Linked DNA regions of Caenorhabditis elegans. The protein of the gene in region 2 interacts with the protein of the main gene of each other region in a pairwise test. Each region holds a gene or a part of one and is shown on either strand. Other genes may lie near its edges. The genes, in order: T22C8.4 and ztf-26.

Region 1 (3,624 bases), on a different chromosome or scaffold from region 2:
GTTATTAATCAGTGTCCTTTTTGATAAGAGCTCACTCAATTGAGTACTTGTGCAACCTGAAAAGAGGTGAGTTGTGTGATTTGAATCGAACAACTGAACAAAAAGGGTGGAGCAGTTAAATGAGAGGAAGGAAAAATCAAGGAAAATTGATACAGTTCTGGAAAATTATTTCAAGAGTTCTTCTGAGAAAGAAAAAAACTATGAGCATAGATGTGACAAGTTGATAATTCTGAAGGGTCAATTCTCAAGGGGTACTGTATGGTTAATAAAAACATTTTTTCACTTCGCAATTGTATTTTCTTGAATGTAAATTGTCAGTTGGGCATAAATTACTCTGAGATTCGTGGCAACTGGGGACGGGAATTGCATACCGTTTTTTCCAGTTGATCCATTTTTCTACAATAATTTTTTTCATTTAGAAAATTATATTATTGAAACTAACTCAATTTTGCATTGAATCAGGTTTTCTCATAAAAAATATCCAGTTCAAGAAGAAGTGCGGAATTTTCATCTACAGTGGATGCAAATTCGACAGTAACCACCGTCCATTTTTTTTAGAAATCTTAATGTTACGGTATACTTTTTTTGAGCCCCAAATATCTCGTAACTCTTTGCTAAAGCAAAGAAGATTTCTGCTTTGTGAAATTGAATATTGATGCATTCAAGACAATTCGACCTCCTCAAAACCAATGAACCTGGACGATTAACGACGTGCACACGACGACCCCGAGAACCAAGTGACAAATGCTCGTTTTTTGTTTCGTTCGGCAGCAAAAAGTAAGAGAGATAGATGAAAAGATGCACTTTTAGAGTTTTAGAATCGCGGAGGTCTTGAGGGAAAAAAATGAGAATGGCACCTGAAATGACAGGCAAATTTCAGACTTAGATGCGGGGATCTTGTGAAAGTAGCGTTTCTCGCTAAATCTCGCCAACGAACGGTTTTTTCAAAGCAAACTAAAAACTGATACTTTGCATTGATTATCATGCCAGACGGTATTTAAGATTATTAAATGAATGACTATTAAACTGTGGGTGCTAGCAAATGTTCTGCACTAGCGATGTTGGGGCACTCCTCGGAATTTAAAAATAATTGCATCAAATCTCTGAAAATCCTTCCAACGGTGAAAAGTGAAACAGATGTTGCTAATCCGTTACCGTACTACCAAGAAAACCGAGAAGTTTCCGTCGTGCAGTATAACTATCCTTCATGGTCACTTACAGAATCGGTAAACAGCCACGGACAGGCGTAAGATTTTATGCACATCGTATTATACTTTGTAAGCTGTAATATTTTATTTTAACATAAAATTACTGTACATATTTTGCTTCCTCTATGACAGTTGCGTACCTTTCAGTATTGCACTGCTTCATCTGTTCTTTAAACTTATTAGCTTGTCATAATGTTGTCATAGACAGGCAACTTGCAATTTATATAATTATCGTTTATAATTATCAAATCTATCATTTTTACAAATTGTTCAAAACAGTTCCATTTCTATTGTTGTCTCTATTTCTCTCCCGTCTGCCAATACTATTTCACTGTCGTTGCAAGTGTTTTGTTAGTTAAAAAGGTCAGGTCATTTCCTCAATCTGTTCGCACCGTGCAGAGTATCGCACCGCAATAAACATATATCCAGAAGAAAGGAAAGATGACAGTCTTCTCTTTCTTGTTTCCCTCTACTTTTTGCTCACTTGTTGTGGTCATAGTCATCTGCTCAACATCACTCTTAACACATTGCACAACAGCTTTTTTTAAATTTTCTTTAAAATATGTCTTTATTTTGAGACATTTGCATCAAACTCCCGTTTTTCTTTCAGATATGAATACTAGCAATTCAACATCAACTTCATTTGGTAGTGATCAAATGGATATTGAAAATCACTCACCAAAGCTATCCGGTGTTGCTCCCAAAAGACGAAGAATTGATAAATCTTCAACTTCATCGGAAGCAAAGATACAAAGAATGGAAGACGCGATGAAGAAAAAATTGGAAAAGGAACAGAAAGAAAAAGCTCGATTGAAGAAACGAGAAGAGACTTTGAAGAAGAAATCTGAAACAGCTGCAGCAAAGAAGAACAAAATTGTTGGAGCTCGTAAGTTAACCAAAATAAATATGCTCAACATTCTGTAAATCACTTTATCATCCCACAATCAAAACCTTAACTGTTACCAAAATTGAACTCGAAAGGTTTTCAGCAAGCGAAGACCCGAAAATTCGAGCTCTCCAATGTGATATCTGCTTTGCATTATTTAAAAATGCTGATAAGAAAAAACGCCATGACCATTCTCATAAAGATGAGCCAGAGGTATACTGTCCAATGTGCAATGCTCCAATCAAGTATAAATACAACTTGAAGCAACATATGAACAAATGTCAACCGAGCCAGAAAGAAATGGAACAAGGCAGTGTGAGTTGAAACTTTTAAGCAAAATGTGTTATATTTTGAATTTCGAAAACTTTTTTCAGATGCTCGCCAAAGCTTACCCGGACTACTTACGTCAACTTCAAGAAGCTGCAGTTAATCCGTCTCTTCCAATGCCAACTTTGAATGGAATGCCATACAGAATGGATCGATATTCATTTGTCACTGGATTCGATATGAGTCTTGATGTTCATTTGGATGTGATGCTCCCGAAATATCCCACAGACGTTTTTGTATGTAATTTGCAGTTATACGTAACATTATGATAATAGTATTTTTTTAGTCAGAAGATGAGGACGCCTTAGACGATGTCAATTTGTTTGATGAGAAGTGATTAGATATTTGTATTCGTTATGGAATTTCATAATTGTCAATTCTTTGTTCATTTTGCCACAGCTGGTATTTCAATCTACATTTTTTCTCGTTAATAAACATCATACGGAATTATTTTTGAAAATTAATTCGAAGCATCAAACTTAAAAGTATAGCTTGGATCGGGCAAATAATTTTGGAACTTTAGCAAACTATATTCTCGTGTTACTAAACATTTTTTCCAGTGAGACTACCGCGTTCTTCTCTCTCACATACAAGACCCCCCACCCGTCCATTTCAAATTCGCTCTATTGAACTACATGTTTCAAACACCGCAAATTTGAGCTCACACAGCTGAGCTCTCATGCTTTTATCAGTTTTTTCTTCTCTCATCCAACTAAATTATCTGTTTAATTTCTCGATTTCTATTCGTTGGTTGTCATAGTGACGATCGATAATTATAATAAAGCACAAGGACTGATTATATACTCAAAAATTATGAAAAAATGCTTACATTTATACTTTGTCTTATGTACATTTTAAATTGATGATTCTTCATGAAAAGCTATGTACCAACAAACTTTGAAAATTTTGTTTCAGTCATGGCAACCACCGAACAACTGGCTAATACCACGCAAAAAGAGCCTGTTATTGATTTAGATCAAGATAGCAACATGGAAATTGCTCATAAAATACAAAACCAAACAAAAAGACTCCCAATTTCCGAACCGGCAAATAAAAATAAAAGTGAGATTTTAAAAATGTATGATTATTGCAATGCATGATTATTAATTTGTGACCTTCAATGTTTTCTTCATTTTTAAAGCTTTAGATGTCACAAGCAAGCAGAATAAAGAAACAAATAGAAAAACATTTGAAAAATCAAAA
Region 2 (5,245 bases):
GGGGATGTCCAATTGGGGGGATTACCAACTCGAGGGATTGGCCCCGCCCACAGAACCGTGGCTTACAATACGCCCATTTCTGCAACTGTCGCACAGTTTTAAAATTATTTTTTCTTGTTGTTTCTCGCTCTAATGAGAAAAATACAGTTTTAAAACCGTGCGGCAGTTGCAGAAATGGGCGTATTGCAAGCCACGGTTCTGTGGGCGGGGCCAATCCCCCGAGTTGGTAATCCCCCCAATTGGACATCCCCCGAGTTCTTCGGGTCTCAATGAGAAAAATCGGTAAAAAAGGTGACATGAAATGAAAACAAAAATCATTTTAGTTTTTGGATTTACGCCTAAATAATCTATATAACAATCGAACGTAGAATTCGGTTGCGCCAAAAAGTAACCAAACTTTGACCCAACTTTTACCAAACTCTTACCCAAATTTACAACGACACAAAAACCATTAACCTTTTGGGGCATAATTTGGGATTACAGGAGTGTTGTAGTCAAATTTTTTATTGCTTTATTAGACTCAAAATTTGTTTTAAAACGTTTCACCAAATCTCTTCGTCCACAGAATTCAAAATACCTAAATCGAGTTGAAAACGCTAGATAATTAACTTTATACCCAAAATTAGACGGTGATTTTTTTTACCACATTCGCTTTTTAGCCATGAAAATGGTATTCTAAAAACTTCAATAACCGCCGAGTTCAAGACAAAAAAGGGAATTTTGAGTCATACCTTTTAGAGCACATTTTGAGATTAAATGGAATTGACCATTTATATGCAAAATTAGTACATTTTCCAAACTTTGAAAATTAATATCTGGCTTCAAACTAATTTTTTTGAAAATCCCCGTAGCCATTTTGTTGCAAATTTTGTGTTCTCAGAATTTCAGAGTGGGAATCAATCAAAATTTAGTGGGAAAGCGCACTTAACGAAAACTGCTCTAGTTCCCCAGTTCTTTTAGATAAAAACAAATTTTTAACTAACAAAATGTTGTTCTTAATGTGCTTCATAGATTTGCAGTTGATAGCTTTTTGAAATCTTCCTTGTGCAACAAGATTGGAGCTGTCAAAGTTGTGCTCTGTAAGAGCATGTGCAAGCAACAATTCGTTCCAATTTCAGCAAAAATGATTGTTTCACCTTCAAAATTGTGAAAAAACATTATATACCAACATTTTATTGGTATTTAATTGTTTTTGAAGAAACTTTTTTTTATTTTATTTGAACGAAAAATGAAAAATTCGCCTTGCTATAGTACTATTTTAGGATCGTTGAGAGCACGTCGTGAGCTTGTTTCTAGAGTTTCGCAGCTAAAAATTTACGAGTAACCGTTTTAAGACATGGGCTATCGAATGACATAGGTCTCATATGCAACTCCAATAGGCACCTTGTGACGGTTCCCTAGTAAGCCACTTCAACATTTCAGGGAAATACATTGAAATTCAAATCAGTTCGCCAAGAGTTTCTTTATTATTTCAGTCATTATGTACTTTTCATTTTCCATTCAACAACGTTTATCAGAAACATATCTCAATGCCTAGATAATAAGTGCAAGGGGTTCAGGCAAAATGGGCGGAGTCTTGCGACGTTCTAGTGAAAAGTAGGAAAAGATATGGAGAGAAATAGAGAGAGACACTCGGCTGTCATAGCTGCCACTTGGTTTAGTCCTCTTTTTCCCTTATTCACATCTCTTCTCTCTGCGCCCCTGATTTTTTCCTATTTGGTTGCCCTGGTTGCCCCGCACAGCCGTTTTTTGGTGTTTAGGAAAACTAAATTTGAAGAAATTTTGATTAGAGAAGATTTATAATTCAGTTACTTTTTCGATTTTCTGTTTACCAAAGGCTTTGACGTTTACTCTCTGAAAGAGTAGGATAGGATCTATGCTACCGTATACCTTCAACATTTCAAGTACAGTGTGCACGTCCAAGATCCCCTTAATTTTTGATACATCAAAGATCGAAAAACTGTGACACGGAAAACAATTGTATATTCATAATCAGCATACTCAAAAAACTTTATTCTCAATTTTCACACGATTTTATCAAATTTAGATAGCGCTATGTAGAAAATCTGAGGGGACATTGCACAGTCCAATCTTTAGACGCGGGCACAAACTTTCTACGATTTTTACGATTTATGGATTTGGTTGGTTCAACTTAACTATAAGTTTCTCAAACTTAAACAATATTTTGAACACATTTTTCCGTCTCGACAATAATAATGTTCAAAGTTTAGGATGTTTTATAAACTTTCAGATGTCCTCTGACGGTTTTCCACACATTGATGATGACGGCATTGGGCCATTGACACCGGAATTTATTGCTAGAATCAGTTCAGGATTTGGAAGACCTTATTTAAGAAATACCCCTGGCGAAGAGATTCAAAAAGATTCAAAGAAGATTTTTAAAAGATGTTAGTTGATTATTTTTCTTTCACAATCAGAAACTAATTCCTTGTTGGTCCAATTTAAACACGTAAGTAACCGGAAATTAGGCTCTGACTAATAAATTTTCTCATGACTTTGCTGTTTCAAAAAAGAATAGTGCATATGAACTTTTCATTTGGAAGATGATTTTGAAGCTTTTTTAGGATGAAATAACTATAGTGCATTGGAGGATTCCTCTTGGGAAGAATATATCACAATACGAAATTTTCAAGAATTGAAAAGAATATAATGTCGTCATAATTTCAGCGAGAGAAGATTTCATAAGTCGATCAAGATCAGAGATTATCAATTGGGTACTGTCAAGTGAAGATCTCGCTAGAGGTAAAAAAAACTCGGCAGTTGTTTCATGTTAAATGTGTAAGAATGTTTGATCGTTTTCTTAACTGAAAAAAGTGCTGCAAATTCTTCGGGGAGCCAACGAATATTTTAATTTGGAATTTGAAAAGTTTGATTCTCGTTAAAGCTTATTTGCAGGTTGTTTCTGAAACTCTTCAAAAATCAGCTCAAAATCAGCTTCAATTTTGTTCAGTAAAGCGCTTAAAAAACATTTGTAAATTTTCAGCATGTGTCTGTCCGTATTGTCTGAAAATTCATTCCCGACGGGATAATGCAAGAGTACATATCAAAAATCATCATAAGGATTATCCAGTTCGTGATTTTATCAAAGACATCGATGCGAGTCTTGCGGAAGTTCGAAGAGCTAATGAAACTGGAAAATGTGAGTGATTTGGAATATATGTGAAAATTCAGTTAAAAGAATCAAGAAGGGAATATGAAATTAGAAACACAATTTTGAAAATTTGGCGATAATAATATTAATTAATTTCAACAACTTTCCTTTTATTGGTATTCTACCCAATTGGTGCTTGTACGGGTAAATATACCCATGCCTAAATATGTAAATTTACAACGTTGTGTCAGTACTGAATTCATGTAACGCCAAAAATGTTGAAGATCGGAAAAATTTTAATAATTGTCATAATTTAAAAAAATCGATGATTCGACATTTTTCTGGAACCCGGTAACAGCTTGAATATGAATCTACAATGTTTATAAATACAGTTCCACCTTTGCCATAATTGCATTACTTACAATTTTGTCTGGAAGTGTTTTCTTATACGAAAAATTCTTCAAACTTTTTCGGCTGCTACAGTACCAAGCCGTGTGAAACTTCTTACATATGCAAATCAGAAACACTGGCATCTTATTCTTGATATTCTAGGATCTAGGAAAATGATTGATGGTGCAAGGGGGAAGTTTTGTGAAAGAGAGAGAGAGAGAGAGAGAGTGGGGGATGTTGGAAAAAGTGATAGGGGGAGAAGAATAGGTTTACAACACTTTGGATCTTAATGGCTCAGCTCATGGTTGAGAGGGAAACCCTCTAGATGATAGTAAATTGCGAGTATTCTGCAAACTATTGTACTGCCGGGAACATTTTCGTAGTTTTCAATTTACAGGATAAGGAAATATTCATAAAGACACAGAAAAACTCGCTATATGTAATTAGAAATTGAATTTATATTACTAGGCTTATCGGAACAGTGACGTCACTTTTAGAATCAGACTTCTTTTTTTTTGAAAAAGGAAAAAATGTCCATTATTGATTGGCATTCTTATGACGTCATACGTTATAATATAGACTCGTAATAAATTTAAAATTGAAGTAGTGTGAATTGGGGTTTTGCTTTATAATACCAAAAATAGTCTGAACTACAGAAATTCGAAAAAAGATATATGTTAAAATTTGTGGAAGAAGAAAAGCACCTTTCTTTAGTTTCCAATTTGAATTCGCTCCAAAATGAGAACTGAACGCCCAATCAGCGAATAGCATCATCCGCTTTAACCAATCATAAGGATTGTGGAAAGTTCTATGTCGTTTATTGGTTCAAAAGTGGGTGGCGTGGCTAGTCATTTTGGGCTGGGCAAATTTCAATTTTTTGCCTAAAATACCAATTTTGGAGACATCCCGAAAAATGGGAGGCGATATTTGTTAGTTGTTTGTTTTATTCAAAACACAACTCCAAAATATATGTTCAAAGTTTCTAGAATTCAGATCCAAAACTACAGTAATCCTTGAAATCTCATATGCTCTTCAACTAAAGTACCTCATTTTATTTTTCTCTTCCCTTCCCTTCCCATCACATTTAGAAAAGTGTTCACATTCATGTGTCAGTCTCTAAAAAGACATTGGATCTCCTGCTATGTGCACAGATTTGCCTCTTCTTTCTCCCTTTTAAGGACCCTGGACTCTCTTCGGACTCTCTCTTTTTGCAGAAAAGAAGAAAAGAAGAGCCAGGAGCACAGAAAGACATCCCCAAGGGACACCAACGACACATACAAGTGTATCCGGTTGCCACGTCACAGGCGGGCCCCATCCATCCATCTATATCCTCTCCAGAGCTTCCTCTATTTTAGAACTGGAGATTGAGCATCTCAGACACTTCAATTCTTCTCATCGTCCGTCTACAAATCTTCCACTCGAGACGGGCTTTAATGATCCGCGGAGATTCTGCTCCCTAGCGACGACGGGCTCTTTTGGATTTTCACCTGTCAGAGCTCATTGTGCCTACTCAGAATTCTGACCAAAAGACATTGATTTTTCCTAATAAATTCATCATTTTACTAATTTTATATTATTATTGTTTCATTATTTATTTTTTTTATTATTTATTAATTCAAAATATTAATTCATTGGATACAGGCGTTTTCTACAGTAGTTTTCAAGTTTTCATCAATTTTTGAAAAAAAAAACAGAATTACCGAAGATGATAGATTTTTGGAAATTTAATAAGATTTTTTATGT

What was found.
Region 1: the proteins of ztf-26 (region 2) and T22C8.4 interact in a two-hybrid assay, tested with the Caenorhabditis elegans proteins (one large-scale study listed by BioGRID).

What each region holds. Positions count from the first base shown.
Region 1 is NC_003280.10:8,621,689-8,625,312, reverse strand, and holds T22C8.4 (C2H2-type domain-containing protein), read left to right. Parts: upstream 1-1,816; 5' UTR 1,817-1,820; coding exon 1,821-2,094; intron 2,095-2,197; coding exon 2,198-2,409; intron 2,410-2,468; coding exon 2,469-2,657; intron 2,658-2,707; coding exon 2,708-2,758; 3' UTR 2,759-2,866; downstream 2,867-3,624. Other genes in the region: T22C8.3 (C2H2-type domain-containing protein), read left to right, coding at 3,339-3,483, 3,569-3,624.
Region 2 is NC_003279.8:8,858,279-8,863,523, reverse strand, and holds the start of ztf-26 (C2H2-type domain-containing protein), read left to right. Parts: upstream 1-2,245; 5' UTR 2,246-2,251; coding exon 2,252-2,408; intron 2,409-2,585; exon of another isoform or gene 2,586-2,688; coding exon 2,689-2,763; intron 2,764-3,004; coding exon 3,005-3,160; intron 3,161-5,245.